4 linked regions of the Drosophila melanogaster genome follow. The protein of the gene in region 4 interacts with the protein of the main gene of each other region in a pairwise test. Each region holds a gene or a part of one and is shown on either strand. Other genes may lie near its edges. The genes, in order: Sar1, Lcp65Ag3, bocks and AstC-R1.

Region 1 (6,229 bases), on a different chromosome or scaffold from region 4:
TGTGTCAAGGGGCTTGACAGGTGGGCAGTGGAAGTTGGGCGGTCGTCCATATGCATTTCGCTTAATGTCAGTGCAATAATATTAAGACTTAATTAATTAAAAACTGCAAGGGTATGCCGGCCGCCCAGCATCTGCAGCAACGTTGGCAATTGTTTGCATTTAATGCCCCCGGCTCAGAGCCGTAAGTACCACCCCGTGCTCTTCCAAATGCACTCGAAAAAAAGGATACTCGAATGAATGCCTTCATAAAAATATCAGTTTAATTAAATTAAATATCTTGTAGCAAATATAAAAACTAGTTGTAACTTATAATTCCCTTATTTTTCCAAAAATTTCGCATTCAATCAAAATATTATAGCACAAGTTTTTAAGTCTTTTCTTGCTTTTTCGTCAGGTGTGGGGGTAAAATTAAAAGAAGTTTACGCAATGTTTGCATAAAATGCACGCAAAAATGTCCCGTCAGCTGCTGACCATCATTTTCCGTAGGTGTTCGACGGCGACTTGTTTTTTGTTGCCGTTTTAAGTGCTTGAAATCCGTTGTGTTGACTTTATTTACCCACGCACACCCGCCGTTTGTGACCCCGCTTTGTCTTTATTTTCCATCCCCGACGCACCGCCATACCTTGGCATGTGGACGATGCTCATGCTACTCCTCCGCCTCCTCCTTCGCTCTGCTCTGGACATGTGTATGGACAACATTTGACAACAGCGTGCTTGGCCATCGGATTCCGGAAGTGCCGGTGCCCTTATTCAGCGTTTATCCGGCCACGAAGCATGCAATTACGGCCCTCTGCCAAACGGTGCGCCAGGAAATACATTTTCTCAAATTAAATATTAAATTAACGGTAAGTTAAATGCAGTGCATACATGGCGCGCCTCATCCTCCATCTTAATCCTCGGGAAATGCGGCAAACATGACGCGTCTGCTCATTGGTTACCCTCTCCATTTTTATCCCTCCATTGCAGAGCATTTGCCCGGGCATGGTAGACACGGATTTCCTTAGTGTTTACTCGCAGGCGGTAGCCGAGCTGCCCAAACTGCAGGCAAGGGATGTGGCCAAGGCCGTGTTGTATGCGCTGAACACTCCCGATGGCGTCCAGGTGGAGGACATCATCCTGCAGCAGATGCGGAAGGTCGATTGAATTTTAGTTTGAATTTCAAGAGAATTACATTTTACCCAAAACGATATTATTTGTACATTTTGTATATGTTCTTCTATGTAATAAGAGAACAAATGTACATATTTTTAAATATAAAAAATTACATTATTGCATTTCAAGCAACTGTTTCGACACTTTATATTCTTTAAGATGTTATCTGTAGATAACATCTGTATTAACATCTTATTACAAATAACATAAAAATGCAATAAAACGATAATTAAACATTTATAATATTTTGCATATTCTCTAATCGATATAACATTAAATGCGTGTAAATAGTTTGGCAACATTATGAATGCATTTATACATTCATTCATTTGAATTGGAATTGCCCGCGCATGTAGTGGAGTTGCCACCTTGCGGTAGGGCTGCCAGATTGAGTCAAAAGACCAGGGCTGTACAGCTATCGCTAGCGAGTACAACAACCACTCTTGATTTGGCTCGCTTCGCTCTAGCAGAGTTATCCACCAAAACATCGATTACTCGTGCTACCCCCAAAATCGATGGTACGAAACAAACATCGATATTTCACAGCTTTCGCTTATTGGTCACACTGGGGCTTATGATTAAAAAAAACTGAACTGACTCCAATAAAAACGTGAGGTAGAAAAAGCGAATTAGGTTGACAATTAATACACACAGCAGACGCACGGTAACCAGCCGCCAATACCGATACGAACGCGCGGCGGCAACAGCAAGTGCGCAAGTAAAAGTCCATATCAAACGCAAGCTACCCGCAGCCGCGGGCAGTTAAATTCCGAAATGCGTCCACGTAGTGCAAAATCCGAATCTCAATTCGAATTCGAATCGGAAGTCCGGATGTCTGCGCCCTTTTTATGCTTTTTTCGAGGGTGCGGCTTAGATCGGCGTGCACCTGCCGTCCAAAGTGTGATTACGAAATGTGCTCCAACGTGAAATGATATTATAAAGTATAATATAATGCATGTTACCACGTAGTTGCACACAGACAGGCAGCACACGCACACACACGCGCACACCCAGTGCCACTCACACACACACACAGACAGTGAGCGAGCGAGAGGGCAGGAGGCAGAGAAAGAATGAAATAAAGAAAGTGCTGCCCAGTTGACAAAGAACAGGTTTTAACCTAATTAACTAAATAATGGGCCCAAGTGAATGTTTCGCCGCCAGGAGGAATTTGCTTCCTTATATCCGCAAGGTCCCCGCCGCTCGAGTGTGCGTGTTGTTGTATGTGTGTCAAGGTTCCGGAAGTTGAGCCGCCGTAAAATTGATTTCCTATACACCAAGCCGCTGTTGCTGCCGCTGCTGTTGTTCTTATTGTGTTTCTGTGGCTGGACATTGAACTTGAGTCGAAATGCGCACTAACCCATTATCCATGCCATATCTCTTTTCGATCCGGCAGCCGTCTAGCCCAGCAGCTCTCTTCCCCCCACAATAAACACACACAAGCTGCTCTTGGAGCCAATCACCCGCAACCGATAGCCACACGAAACCATCAGGATGTTCATCTGGGACTGGTTCACCGGAGTGCTGGGATACCTGGGTAAGCAACGTCGCCATTGCCGACCTTGTGCCTTGGGGCGGCGTTTCTTGAACGAGTGCCAACAAGGCAGCCGCACAAAAGAAACCCAAATTCGACGGCTGTACAGCGGAGGTCGTGGTGATAGCTCTAAACGTGCGATTATCTCGAAATCTAGAGGTTAAACTGTGTCTATAAGGTGTCGAAAGCTTATAACTTTCCATTAGGTCTCTCTATCACAACAAATGCGCGTTGAATATGCATTACTCTAGGGTGCATATACAATATACACTTCTGTAAAAGGTATTTTGATTGCATAGCCATGTACTCTTCAGCCACAATTATTTAAGCAGACATTTTTGATAGGGTTTTCCTCGCTTCCAGATGGCTGCTACACTTTTATTTGCTTTGTAATGCTAAAAGTTAAAATTATTCCATACGAAAAGTACTGTTCTACAGTGCAGGCCAAACTGATAGCAGTTGTTATAAGCGCATTTTTGTTATAGCTTGATCTTTAATCAGGTTAATGATAGCCGAACATTTTGGGTAGCAAAGGTAATAATTAGCCCGAAGTCCAAGAGCTATTGTCTCGACCTCAAATGTATATTCGGCTGTCTGTGGCTGGGCAAACACAAGTGAGCCGCCACTAGTGTTAGTTTAGCTGCGTATATTAATTGATGACGCGTAAGTCAAAAGGCTATTCAACACACTTTCTCGTTTTCAGGTCTGTGGAAAAAGTCTGGCAAATTATTGTTCCTGGGCCTGGATAATGCTGGCAAAACCACACTCTTGCATATGCTCAAAGATGATAAGCTGGCGCAGCATGTGCCCACACTGCATCCAAGTGAGTTTCCTTCATGGACTAAATAGTGGTTATGTGTGTGACTTTAATTAACTAATATGATTGACTTGCAGCATCCGAGGAGCTGTCCATCGGCAACATGCGCTTCACTACATTCGACTTGGGTGGCCACACTCAGGGTAAGTGCCTAATCTTGACCAGAGCTCAGGGGAATGTGAATGTGCATCCAAATCGTTGCTATTTTCCGTACGTGCCCACGACTAAATATAGACCAGTATGCAAATATCGCAGGGCTAAGCAAGCGCAGCCGCCAGATCCACGACAATCAGCATGAAATATAGCGCATCAGGTCACCCATACAGCCAGTGCGTCTTACACTCGTAGCATTTGTTGCGATCAATCAGCGCCACACACTCGAAGCAATGCCACCACAGTGGTCACAAGCAGCTCATCCAGAGATCTCAATTATCATCTTATCTCAACTGTGATTATGAAGACCTCAGAATACTAGAATATTTAACCCATTGCATACAATCAATATGTTCATTTATGTTTAGAAAGCAATTAGTGTCTTGTTGATTTTCGCAAATACTATCTTCCTTACCACTGTGCACATATAGGCGACGTATTTATTATTAATATTATGAAGGCAAACATTCTCTATGTAGATAACAAACAGAAACGAAAAACTCGCATACATGCAGTTGATATATGTATATAAATATGAACATTATGAAAAGTGATCAAACATCGTGAAATCCAGTTGTTTTGATAACGAAGCTCTAGCACTCATTTTAAGGCAGCTCGTCATCGTGACGATCGTTTTCGCTTCGGAACTACTAGGTACACTAAAGTAGAAAGGTTCTTAGCGGCGGAAAGATATCAGATTTGTGCCTGATATCAGTGACTTGCGCTTTGTTATTCTAGCGATGTTATATAAATTACAGATTGTTGGTCAACAGCAGCGACTACTAAGGTGCCCTTGCAAATCTTGATTCAAAAATCGGAAGACTAACCCATCTAAAGACTAACTGCTGCTTTTGTATTTATGAGACATATCTACTTATTTCTGCAGCACGACGCGTCTGGAAGGACTACTTCCCTGCTGTGGACGCCATCGTTTTCTTAATAGACGCCTGGGACCGTGGCCGCTTCCAGGAGAGCAAAAACGAGCTGGATTCGCTGCTCACGGATGAGGCGCTGTCCAACTGCCCCGTGCTCATATTGGGCAACAAAATCGATAAGCCCGGCGCGGCTAGCGAGGATGAGCTGAGAAACGTGTTCGGACTGTATCAGCTAACAACCGGCAAGGTGAGCACCAAAACCACCTCCCTCCCTCCCTCCCTCCTTACTCCTGCTACATAATTGATATCCATTTGACTTGCAGGGCAAAGTTGCACGCGCCGATTTGCCCGGCCGTCCTCTGGAATTGTTCATGTGCTCCGTGCTGAAGCGACAGGGCTACGGCGAGGGTTTCCGTTGGCTGGCGCAGTATATCGATTAAGTCAGCATTAGCAACCACCACCAGCACCATATTTTCAAGAACACCACTCAACACTCAAAACCGAAAACTTGGCTACAAAATTTCCAAAAATGATTAGAGACCGCAGAAAGAACAGAACCCAAGGGATGTGAACCCAGCCCAATTCAAACCGTCAGACCTTAAGCAAAACGAAGCTGCGTGCGCAATTTCTAATTTATACAAAACAATTACAAATATTTCATAATAATAAAAAAAAAAAAACAGAAAACCATACAATGTACATCTGTAACACACAAGAAATCGCGGGAAAAACAGAACACAACATCAAAGTGAAGACAACTTTTCTATCTGGAACATCGGGATACATTGTAAGGAGCTGAAGGATGCGCGGAGTGCGCAAGGGAAACTTTTAATAATAATTATGAGTAACAAATTATAGCAAATTAAAGGTGATTTATTTAAGAGCATGTGCTTTCAACGAACGCTGTTTCGCCAATAAAATGTAGCCACCTACCTTTATTTCAAGTTTATGAATTGTAAATGTCGCTATTGATTTCCTAAATAGTTTACTTTGGCCGCAAAACATTATGTACATCCCTATAAGGATTCGACCTCCGATAAATGGTACACCTTAGTTTAGCTAAAAATTTTAAGTTGCATGTCATCGATGTACTTTGTTTCTTTTATACAATACGAAAGGGAAAGCAATTTATATAAAAAAGCATTTTTGTTTGCAGACAGAATTCTAAATAAAACGGAGAAAAGTAATTTTGTAAAATACATAAATTGGTGACTATTGTTGTTTTGCATTGGATTTATGTGCCGAGCTTGAATGAAACCCAGCGATGTACAAACATATTGGATTCATTTATTTATTTGCATTTAGGGTTTACGCTAATGAGTCACGTCCGGAGCATCTATTGAAATCAGGGAGCAGGCATTCGATGAGGGCGAGCACGGGATCCAGGAGCTGCAAACATGCTGGTCCAAGTAGAAAAATACACAAAACTCTGCAGAGTATGATCGCGACCTCAGTGCTAACTGAGCCGGCAGCGGCGGGGCAGTCCTCTCAGCAGCATCAGTTGGCGTTGAAAGAGGCGCATGAGCAAGCCCTTGCGCTTGGCCCGCTCCCTGGATCAGGAACGCGATGATCCGCCCATGGAGCCGGACCCGGAGCCGCCGCCAGCCATGCGCCGCTTCTTTTTCTTCTTGGCCGTCAGACTCTCCTGGCCGCTGTCCGTGTTGGAATCGCCGCCATCGTCGCTCTCCTCCTCCTCCG
Region 2 (3,075 bases), about 12 Mb from region 4:
AGCCTGAAAGTAAGCTTAAGAGTCTTTTATGATTAAACTATGCACTTTAAATCCGCAAAGCCGACTATGCATTTGGGAGAACTTTTTGTTTTTATTTTATTAAGGCATACTGGAAATTTTCGTTTGATTTTGTTAAGATAAGTTAAAAATAGGAAAAATATATTCTTTTTTAATATTATTATAAGGGCCCAAAAACTTTTTCTTTTTTAATAATGTTCATGTAATAAGAACACCTAATAAAGCCTGAAGACGACTGGGTATGTTAGCGGTTAGAGTAATAAAATACATAATAAAAAATTGTATTTTCAGTTCTAAAATGTTTTTTTTTTTAATTAATAATTTTCTAAATGAAAAAAATACCTATTCTTTCAAAATACTTATTTACACTTCTTAAGAATTGCTTAATGGAAAAAAACCTTTAATTAGGTCCGTTGTTTGCCATAAGAATCTAGTTCTATTTATCTGAACAACTTAACAAAATATTTTCAAATAATCGCCTTTAAAAAAAAACGACGTTTCCGACCTTTTGAGCGAAAAGCACATTTAAAATAAAACGAATTCATATAAAATCTACATTTTTTAATATTCAACAAACTGCGTTCTGTAACTTAGGATTCTTTCCCTTTTAAAAGGGAAAACCGAAAGTAGGTAAGTGTTGGGGAAGATAACAAAGAGTGTTGCAGAATTGGTGGGTTTAAAGCTGCTTACAGTGAAAGCAACTTCACTTATGCCACGGGGGCAACGGGCAGATGAGCACCCTCGGGCTGGAATCCGTTCTTATCGGCGATGTAGTTGACTTGGTAGGTCTGGCCATCATCAGCAATGAAGCGGTAGGATCCACTCACAGAGATAGCCTCGTTCTCAGTTCCAATGTCGTTCAGCTGACCTACAGCTTGAGCAGCCTGTCCATCGGAGGTTTCCCAGCTAAGAAGGAAGTCAGTGTCAGCTAGGTATCCTTTTGGGTCATTTCTCATAGGCAACTTACTCGTATTTGAAGCTTTCGGGTCCAACGTCGGATTCAGAGCGCACGATTGTGGGTTCCTCAGCGGCAGGAGCAGCCAGAGCCACGGCGAAGAGGGCGACGAAGACAATCAGGAATTTCATGGTGATTGTTGTTTGGTGCTTAGATCTGCGGCTATCGAACAGTTCAAGTCGAATGGTAACTATGGACGGCCGCGTAAACCCTTTTATAGATGGCACCCTCTTGGCGATTATTCAAAGCGCGGCCGAACTAGTCAAACGTGTACAAGACATAATGAGCAAAATCAATGTTAATGTGAAATGTCTGGTTTGGATTTCATTTTCGTTTGAAGTAGGAGCATTAAAAGGCCTAATATAAAATTTTAATAACACTATAGTCCAAAAAGAATCGCGTTCATAAATATTTCATTATTCAAATTTTTAACAATTCATTGAGCTTTATTATATTTATAATAATCCAGCCAGTCTTAGTGACGTCAATAAAACTCGGGAGCTTCCTCAAATATATACATTTTTTCTATTTACTTTTCTAATTCTACGAATCTTTTACATTGGATAAATAAAGTCAACTTATTTATTCGCATCCGGAATCATTATACATCCAGGTATCTCCTAGGCTACTAGCCTGAACTTGGGATGGTAGCCAGTTTCGTCGGCCGTGAAACTAATCTCGTATTTTTTGCCATCTGGAGCTGACCAGCTGGTCGATCCCTGGACAGACAAGGAACCATCCTCTTCGCCGGCTCCAGGTTTCACCTCACCGGTCTCAGTGCGTGAGATTCCGTTGCTCGTCTCATAGCTGGAATTCGATGTTAATTGTTTTTAATAAATTAATTATTGATTGAAATTGTATATAGGAACATCGAATAATTAAACACCTGTTACAACTAAGCATTTCAAAGCTACCCTCTTTAATTTTGCCCTTGCAGAGGCTTATACCTCTGATATCAGTCAGAAGTTTGCAACGCAGTGAGGGAGACATGTGCAACTAAATAAAGTTTATATATGTGTACATATTTATATACATCAGTTTCAATAGTCAAGCCGTTTCTACGCAAAATAGTAATAGTATCTCAGTTTAAGGTTAAAAAATTTTACAATTAAATGCATTATGTCCAAATCATTTCTGGGCAATACCTACGCAAAGGAATATTTATCGCCCGTGTTTTCGCTCTCCAGTTTGATGGTCTCCGCCTGGGCATCCTCACCAGCGGGAAAGGCCAAACAGATACCAATTGCCAGGAAGGCTACCAGCCACATGAAATTCGATTGCATTGCGGAAAGAATTAGTTTTTCAGAGTCTCCGTCACAGCTAGCTGCACTTTACTGAGCTGCGATGCGATCATCTGATGCCCTTTTATACGAAATCTCTGGATTATGTCCTCATCGGCGAAAAATGCAAAATAATAAAACAAATTAAAAATAAAGAAATCAGCTATAATGCAAACATTCAATAAAACACATTTTAATTACAGATTAACACTCTAAGTACCCTGCACTAATCGTGCATGCAGGTATATCCAACAGATGGTAATGTATGCAATTACCTTGTCGACAGTCAATTGATAGACAGAATGACGCCTTACCTTGCCATCACCTTTGAATTCTCAAATCTTATTGGTTAATTAAGCTAATCGTGAACATGTTTGTTTGAAACAAACAGATAGAACGGTGAAAATTTGTATAAAAAACAGTACACGATCACCATTTGCTATATACATATAAACTCAGGTTTAAACGATGTCTTCTAGTCGAGATGCATAAAGTTCTGTATTCGAACTTTTTATTATTGTGCATTGTGATTTTGCCATTGTCATTTCTCATATTATCATCTAATGTTTGAATAAGTAAAGCCTCAGCAAATGCTTTGTGTACACTACTATTGGTATATACATTAATTATTAATAGAAAATATCAATCAGCAATCCAACAAGCATGGAATATTCTACATATCAGAGTATTCTATATCAAATATCAGAGTATTTTACAAACATTTAATCGTGCAGCGGTCACGTATACACGCTGTGACCAGTTTCTATTCTTCGAATATCTATAATCAGTCGGTTCTTTTTCGACTACGACCTTCCCCATATG
Region 3 (4,064 bases), on a different chromosome or scaffold from region 4:
GCAGTCAGAGCGCAGGGATTACTATAAGATATTAGGCGTTAAGCGTAGCGCCAGCAAACAGGAGATTGTGAAGGCCTACAGGAAGGCGGCGCAAAAGTGGCATCCGGACAACTTCCGCGACGAGGAAAAGAAGGTGGCCGAGAAAAAGTTTATTGACATTGCCGCAGCCAAGGAGGTTCTCACGGATCCCGAGAAGCGTCGTCAATTCGACAACGGCGAGGATCCATTAGATCCTGAGAGCAATCAGCGTGGCGGCTTCCATGGCGAACATCCGTTTGGACACTTCCAACACGGGTCGCCGTTCCAGTTCAAGTTCCACTTCAATTAGTCAGCCAGCAGCCATTTGCTTTGTGATGTCCTAGCCGCGATCCCCGATATCCTTTAACGATTTTACACTGTTTTGTTCATTTAAATGGCGTGTAAATAGTAGCATAAAGCATAAATAAACCCATGGTCCGTTGTCAGAGAGTACCACAAACAAACACAAATCGCAACAAAACACACTGAGCACTTACATTTAATTAGTTTATTTAATACAATACAATAATTATAATGTAGTACATTTTTCTAATTATGTATAAAAAGAAACAATATGCGAGAACAAGCAATTAAAGACTTGGCAAATTGAGTTGAATATTTGTTAGTTTTGAACATGTTTGGAATTGAAGTAGTAGTCTTAAGGTGCAAAGTCGTCATAAATATTCCTTCGCTGTAGTCTGTGGTTGAAATGCGTGGAGTAACCAAAACCAAATGTATTCCGCGATATGAACGCTTCTCAGGCGTTGGGTGTCAATACCACGTACACCATGGTGGCCAGCATCACTGACACTACCAATATTAAGTAGAATTTGAGATTATATTTTTGATCCAATGACACCGCCAGTGCACGGAACTGCGCCATAGGCGAAACCTGATCGTGGTGTCTTACCAGAGGTTTTCTAGCCAGCGGCGAGAAGCGATTCTTTTGGAAATGGCTATTGATGGGTACTTCCTCGACTTCGGACTCGCTCTCCGTCTCCATGGGTTCGCCTGCGTCATTCGGCTGATCGTAGAATTCATTTAGTTGTGGATATAGAGTGTTTACTGCGGTGGTCGGCTGGAGCAGGCGACCACGGGCCAGATTGGATCCACTAACTGGAACACTCTGTCGCTGGCGAATGGGTGCTGGAGCTGGTGCTGGGCCACCAAAAGGCCTAGCGGATCCGCTGAAAGTGTTTCTTGGCGAAATGGGTGAAAGTTTTGGATTGTACGTAGATGACTCCTCGTAGCTGGTTGAGTTTAAGTTGGTTTGAGTCAGCAGGGGACGCGAAAAACCCAAATCTGTGGGTCTGTATGTCGAAGGTTCGATGCGTGGCTCGTATGTGGGAAGTGCGTGAAGAGTGGCGGCTGGCACATGGGGTCTTTCGTAGGTGTAGCTGCGTGGTATATCCTCCTGTTCGTACAGCGGCTGGTCAACTTCGCGTGTGTAAGATGTGGTCAAAACTCCGGATTTGGCTAGAGAAACATAACGTCTAGGCTGCTGGTCCTTGGAGTAATTAGGCACCGGAGAGTCCACCATGTAGGAGTCGTCGTCCTCCGACTGGGAGCTCATATCCGACACCGTGGTAGTAGTCTGCACAGATCTTCCCGAGATCGAGGTGTTGTCTAGTCCATAGGCGATTGTGCGACGACTTTGTTCGCTGATCTTGTTGTTGTTGCTGCTAGTGCGTCCTGCACTCTTGCCGGGCGTACGACGCACTGGCTCCGATGTGGGCGTCGTTACCTGGCTGCCGTGTACGGTCTCACGCCTCGGAATCGCTTTCTTACTTGCAGATTTGCTTTTGTTCAGCGGAACCCCGGTGATTTTGGCCTTTAGTCGGCGAATTATGACGCTGCGGGTGCTGTCCGTCACGGGAACACCGGGCAGGCCGTGCTCCAGGCACTTGGCCAGCAGCTCCTTGTTGCCCAACGTGTCCAGGTAAGAAAGGTCCGACATTATTTTCCGCCGTGGTGAAACTCAAAACACACAAAAATAGCAATGTCGTCACAATGTTGTCTATTAGTGATGGAACGGCAGCGATAGAATGTTCAATCTAAGTGCACGCCTATCGATTGCTGCTAAAGTAATGTTGTTTGACAAACTATAGCTAGATTTCATATGCTGGATGAGCTGTGCACGAAAGTAAAAACAATTTTTTAACATCAGACAGAAGAACAAACTACTTGAAGAAAAACTTAACTCGATATTTTATGTGCAATCGCCTCATGTGCAGTGTTATAAAATGCCTACAACTAAACATTTACAGCAGTGCTGCCAGACCTGGTTGGATACGCTTGCTATGGTTTATTTCAACTAACGCCCGACGGTCACACAGTTAGTTTTATGAAAATCGAACGCGCAACAGGTGTTCAATCGCAAACAAGACGCTCGAATTAAACGAATCGCCGCGCGGAAAGCGCTCGCCAAGCCAAAGAAAATCCCCAAGTCGCAGTGCGGAAAACTGAGGAGATATAGCATCGTAACATAAACAGTGGATTGTGGAAAAACAATCGTGAATCATTTGCACCTGTTTGGCGGCCAATATTTCTTCACCTTTTTGCTTTTCTGCGCCTGCGTGTGTGCCTCACTTCGCTTATTACACTTTTGTTTACCTCAATCGCGGGTGTTATTAAAGTTTTTGGCATCGATTTCGAGTAGCAAAGCAAGTGGCTGGAAACATTCGACAATTTGCTGGCTGCAATTGCAGCATATTTTCCATTTAGCCAAGCAAGAGCAAGGGAAACAAAAACAGCAACAACAGCAGCAGTAGAAGCAGCAGCATAAACATAAACCAAAAAACCGGTTAAAGCGGACAAGAGCGAGAAAGGCGCCCCAAAAAAGAGCAAGCGGGACAAAAACAAACACATAAAACGTGAAAAACAACAACGAATCAAAGTAGATATAAATACTAAACGAAAAAAAAAATATCCTCGTATTTGGGTTTTTGTTTTTTTGTTAAGCGCAAACAGAAAATAAGTGCGTTTGTTCTTTGTTTAAACGTGTTGACATCGTGTTTTCCCTGTAAAATTCCTTATCGGCCGATCGAATCGAAAGTGAACGAGTAATTGCCTTTCTGGTATTTGGTTTATTACATTTCGATATTGCTATTGCCCAAACTCAAACTCTGCGCGTGGCCTCCTTCTTATCGGCAGTCCAGTTCACCAGTCTACTCCACCAGAAGAACTACCTGTTGCCGCAACAATTAACACCAGGTGAGCAATAAAACCAACCCTTTTTACACTTCTGCAGCTTAGAATGCCCAATAGGACCGACCACCGGGTATTCTTTAAATATTGTTTACGTTGCACTTATAACGAATTCCAAGGAATGTACTCACAAAGAGCATTTGAACAATTGTATTCATGAAGATATATTTACTCATAATTAAGAATTCATCTAAAAAGAAGCATCGGGGGTTGCAAGGAAGAAATGGGGTTTCAAACTAAATGTTAATATCAGTGATTTAGGCACATACATATTTGGTGCTATTTTTGGAGTGGCTTGTACATGTGAATTTGCTGATTTCAAGTAGCTCCAAATGTTATTTATTGTTACCAATATAATTTGTGTTGGGCATTTCATTCTATTCAGTCGGTCATTGCCTATATTTGGTATTGCTTGATAGCCAAGTCACGTGAGAGGCCTTCCATCGATAAACCAAATCACAATTGTTAACAAAAGATTAGCCCCATGCCCATGACATTAGGCAACCCAAATTGGGGGAATTGGGGAATTCGCCACCGCAGTTCATTGACACAACCTTTGGCTGCTGTTTTCAGCTGTTTTTGCTGTTGAACCCGCTTAACTTTCACTGCAAACGCGGCTGGCCCAAAAGCGGCATAAATCAGCACGAAAACAACACACGCGACAAGAAAATGTTGTAAATGCCAAAATTGAAATGCAGTCGCAGGTTAATAAAATCAAATTTGTTGCCCGCTTTTGTTTTCTCGTTTTCATCGCTCGTTTTCCATTGCCATTTCCATTTCCATCTCCATTTCCATTTTGATTTAATTTAATTTTACTTATGTAATCCCTGGTTAATTTC
Region 4 (4,714 bases):
CTTTTCAGTGCCAACGGAAAAGGATTAAAGCAAACTGTCGGAAATTCAACCAGAAGGATTAAAAGTTTTGCTCAAAAGGCCAAACTAAAGTTTGACTCCGAAGAACGTCGACAGTTGCCATATTTTCTGTGTCACTCTCTTTCCAAAGTTTCTTCTAGATATCCCCCAACTCTTACCATATGTTTGCCAGCTTTTTTTTCACTGTCATCTAACCAAGTCGAACTTTTTTCTAAACGAAAACATCAACTGGCTCCACATGGAAATTATTGCAGCAAATTTCTTTCCAAGTTGGGTGCGAACAAAAACGGAAAATTTCCTGTTCTTCTAATGACCAACAGAGCAAGGGAGATAACTCCGGGTTTGGGCCAGGTGGATAGTTTTCCAAGTGCACGGCAATTAGATTTCGACGCCTGGGGCTTCTTAAGTTGGAGCTCTGAGACGGTGGCAGTGCTGAGATATGATTTATTTACCCAAAAAATGTAGGAGGAAACTAAAGATTGGTATCTGAAACGCAATCACTTTCCAAACTTAATTTAAATATCTGATAAATTTGCAAACTAACTTTGTAAACTTTGGAAAAAATATGTATGAATGATTTATATCGAGTGTGATGTTTGGTAACGAGGCAAGAACATATTTTTAATGTTTTTAAGAATATATATATGATATAGCACAGTCTTGCTATATCATATCCTAAGTAAATTGTGAGAGCATGCATTTCTTGTCCTCCTTTCCATGTCATTACTGATTTCAATTATTGCAAACAACTGTATGCAAAATGCATGCAATTAAGGCTAGAATAATCAATCAGCAATCAAAGCCTTTCCGAATTCAAGCTAATACACGTACATTTGCAACTATAATTATAACATTGACTGTCCCAATACCGATATAATTTTAAATGCAGTGCCATACCTGAACTACGAAACAATTGTGCCGAAAATAATATGTTATGCAAACACATTTGTGTTATTGGAATTTGGTAAAAGTATAAATAACACATTACGTATACGGCCGGTAAGCCATCCCATAAACGATTTTGAACATTTTAATTATAAGGAATTATAAATCTGATAAAATAAGGGTATATGCTCGCTAATATATGTTAAATTTAGAGTAATTAAATTTAGGTCCAAAATAACTGGAAATAATTTTTATAACAGCATGATACCAAAGGAAGGTAAAACTTTTTAAAATTTCTTGTTTTAGCATGAGATAGATAACACATGGAAGTAGTTTTGATTAACCTATAGCGACAACACATCTCAATATTATACTTTGATAATCCTTGTTCTTATATCCTTCTAAATGGCACCAGTAGAATCAACAAGCACTTGCCCAAAATGGCAACAGAACTGCAAGCGCTAACATTCGACTGTTGTTGGCCAACGAAAGTGAGAGTTCGTATAAGAGAGAAAGTGTCGGCGGGAGAGTCTCCCTCACCGCGTGCTCTCCCGACCAACTGTTAATTGAGGAAAATTGCAGCTGGGAAAACGGCAGCAGACCGCAACACGCATCAGGCATCAGGCCAATCGGGCGACGAACCTGAAAGCCGAGCACCGAGCGCAATTGTGGATCCGAGCGACTCTGCAGTCGGAAAACTCGCATCGGAAAATTCGCATCGGAAAACTCGCATGCACCATAACAAAATTCGCCGGCAAATGCGGCGCGCAGTATGCAAAACAACACCGGAACGTGCAGTTCAGTCACTGTATCTGAATCTAAAATAATAATATAAAACCAAACTACGAGCAAACCCAGGGTAAAGTAAACAAAAACTTCGCCAGCGCCAAAGACCAAATTCGATGAACGTGCGCGAAAAACTCAAACCAAATAGGGTGAGAGTGGCGAAAAAGTTGGGCGGGTGATAGATAACCCCCGGGGGCTTTTCCTGCTGCCTGCATCCAATCCAAATTAGCGGCCAAAAACGCAAGGAAAATAAACAAATAATTTTACTACCAGCCGCCGTCGAATCACAAATAAATCCGACGTAGAGTGAAAAATAACATTAGCGTCGCAATCCGAGGAATTGCAGAAACGCTTGCCAAATATTTTGAAAACCCCGAAAAGTGCGTGGTGTGCCATTTTATCGGATTCGAAAGGATGAGTGGCTAGATGACACAATATATTCAAGTGGTAAGCAAAATGTGCCTCGAGGAGCATCGAACGGGTTGCCTTGTGTGCACATCTAAAACGATTGGGTGCTATCTATCTCCAATGTGATTAGAAATATGTATGTACTATATAGTAAATAAAAAATAAGCTCTCCTCATCTACATATAAATATAATCCTAATTCTAGTTTTTGAACTTAAATTAAATATAAATATAGTTTAACTTGAAGGGTTTGCAATACTTTCGCTCTGTGCTTGGGTTTTCCATTTTCAACGTTCAAATGTTTGTGTGCGTTGAAATTTATCAGATAACTGAAATTCTGTGCGAATAGCAATTTGTAACTGTTGAATGTCTTGCGTTGAGGGAAAGAGGTTGGTCTTCCTACGAGGCGATGGGATGGGTTGAGGAACGAGGATGCCCGATGATGTGGAAACTGAGAAGGGCTGACCATCGACGGCAGCCGCAGTAAACCAGAAAGGATTTTGGGGAAACGAAACAAAATTTGACAAATTAGGGAATGCTGGAATGGTCGTAAATGTTATTCAGAGAAGTGCTATGCTGAGAATAAATGCAGAAATTGTTACGGAGACATGTTGATTAATTCGTTATGTGAGATGTGCAGAATAAAAATGCCAATTTAAGAAAAGAAATGCCAAGGCCACAAGTAATTTTCTTAATAAATATCCTGCATACATATTAAAGTGCAGCAGAAATTATTTGTTATTGGCTCATTACTCCTAGGGGTGTGGAATTTTGTAAACTTGATTTAATTGTAAGTAATTCCCATTTTATTATGAGAAAGTTAACCAAGTGGTTCAGAACCAAAGCTATGAGCTACTTACAATTTTTATAGAAGCCCTCTATGTTGTTCAGCTATGAAACTCAAGTTCCTTTAGCCTCCGTAGTTCCCCCTTCACACCAGATAACCCGGCGAATGAGCTCATCCAGCTAAGTAAAGTCCACTAAAACCGAACACCCCCTCCCCGCAAGACCAACTAAAAGGCACAAGGAGGCGGAGATAGCCACTGCCACCCCATGACCATAAAGCCCAATCAAAAGGCCGTTGCACTCGCTGACTAACGGACTAACTGAGTGAATGACGTGCCCTGGCCCAATCCTTCAGTCAATCGGTTTGATGGCCTGAGTCCGAATGTGGAGCTAGAAGCAGCACGGGAAGACAACGCAAACAGCAGGCGAAAGTGAAGGAGCAAGTCACGGAGGAGGAGCAAACGAAGCGTTTCAGCAGCTGCTGCTGCGACTCTGCAACTCGGGGCGTGTAATTTGTCAGACAGATTTCTTTTAGCGCCAGGACACAACCCCTCCCATCCAATCCAATCCAATGCTTCCTACACACCCACACTCAGCAATTGCCCACCCACAAAAAATACCGCCCACGTCATTGCAACAAAACTGCTTCCTTCCTGACTTTTTTGGCCATGCTCTTTGAAACTGAACTGGGCGTCCGACGAGGCTGGGATTGCTCTTACAAATCAGATATTCCCTTTAATTATATAATTTACAAATCTTTGTTCGTGAGTTTATACATTACATACATAAAATCGGAAGTGTTTTAATTTGCTTTTACTTTTGCATTTAAAAATGAATTATAATCAAGTTGATATAGTATGCAATTTTTTAGCTTGAAACTATAAATTGTACACTTTTAAATCCGTTTTATTTTATAATTTTAAATCAAGGATCTTAACAGAATAGACATTAAAAATTGTAGTCTTTCATTATAGGTTTGCACCATTGGTGACATATTTTGTCAATGTTTCTGATACCAAGTAGCATTTGGCAAAAATGTGGTTAAGATAAGAAAAAATGTATAAAACACCCCGGACTTTTATTAAAACCCATTGAATAAGTGAAAATGGGAACAGTCTGTGCAAAGGTATTGAAAAAGGAAGGGAAAGGAACGAGCCAGACATTGACATTTCAGTGCAAATGAAGTGATAAAACGTAAAGGCAAAGCGGCGTCAGCTAGAAAATTGCCAAAGTGGGTAAAGGAAGTGTAGGGAAAAGTGTGGAAGAGAGAGACAGACATAGTTGGGGAGAAAGAGACGGACGACTGAGCTAGATAGAGAGGGCCTGGCAGACAAAGCGCGTCGAAAATGCGTCTAATTTGATGGAAGCGATGCATGCCTTAACCTTTCGTCGGCGTCAGGCAAACAGACAGCAGCAACAACGAACACAACGATGACAGGCACCAAATGATAGCATTTCCTCCCAACTCAAAGGATCCGACTTAGCCAAGAACAAGGACACTGGCAAGGGAAAGGGAAGGGGAAAGAGTAGGAGAAGGGACCAGCCAACTGGGAGAGGATGAGCACCGGATTCAAATGGCGGAACAAGTGCCAGAGATGCTGATGTGGCGCCTCCTCAGCTGCTGACAACAAATTGATGGCCAAGGATGCACAGAAATTCCTCGGAAATTAGTCAACGCACAAGGGATTCCCACAAACTTCACTTAAAGGGGAAACCGTTCTGAAATATTAGACCGTTGTTAATATCCCAATCCTTCATGCTTTCCCAAAACAAAATTCACTTTCTTTCCTTAATCAGAACGAAAAAATATCCAAAAAAGTCCCTCAAAAATA

The links.
Region 1: the proteins of AstC-R1 (region 4) and Sar1 interact in a two-hybrid assay, tested with the Drosophila melanogaster proteins (one large-scale study listed by BioGRID).
Region 2: the proteins of AstC-R1 (region 4) and Lcp65Ag3 interact in a two-hybrid assay, tested with the Drosophila melanogaster proteins (one large-scale study listed by BioGRID).
Region 3: the proteins of AstC-R1 (region 4) and bocks interact in a two-hybrid assay, tested with the Drosophila melanogaster proteins (one large-scale study listed by BioGRID).

Annotation. Positions count from the first base shown.
Region 1 is NT_033777.3:22,354,983-22,361,211, forward strand, and holds Sar1 (Secretion-associated Ras-related 1), read left to right. Parts: upstream 1-1,702; 5' UTR 1,703-1,816; exon of another isoform or gene 1,817-2,065; intron 2,066-2,534; exon of another isoform or gene 2,535-2,548; 5' UTR 2,549-2,646; coding exon 2,647-2,689; intron 2,690-3,389; coding exon 3,390-3,509; intron 3,510-3,580; coding exon 3,581-3,646; intron 3,647-4,542; coding exon 4,543-4,778; intron 4,779-4,854; coding exon 4,855-4,971; 3' UTR 4,972-5,729; downstream 5,730-6,229. Other genes in the region: rdhB (retinol dehydrogenase B), read left to right, coding at 710-845, 967-1,143; JMJD6 (jumonji domain containing 6), read right to left, coding at 6,087-6,229.
Region 2 is NT_037436.4:6,129,826-6,132,900, forward strand, and holds Lcp65Ag3 (larval cuticle protein), read right to left. Parts: upstream 1,165-3,075; 5' UTR 1,105-1,164; coding exon 986-1,104; exon of another isoform or gene 925-985; coding exon 726-924; 3' UTR 561-725; downstream 1-560. Other genes in the region: Cpr65Au (cuticular protein 65Au), read right to left, coding at 1,594-1,780, 2,123-2,256.
Region 3 is NT_033777.3:9,588,955-9,593,018, forward strand, and holds bocks (bocksbeutel), read right to left. Parts: upstream 2,049-4,064; 5' UTR 1,976-2,048; coding exon 776-1,975; 3' UTR 514-775; downstream 1-513. Other genes in the region: P58IPK, read left to right, coding at 1-328. UniProt on the Drosophila melanogaster protein: Inner nuclear membrane protein. May have a role in maintaining the structural integrity of the nuclear lamina. During pupal development, plays essential and redundant functions with the other LEM domain proteins; MAN1 and Ote.
Region 4 is NT_037436.4:18,558,569-18,563,282, forward strand, and holds the start of AstC-R1 (allatostatin C receptor 1), read left to right. Parts: upstream 1-1,689; 5' UTR 1,690-2,136; intron 2,137-4,714.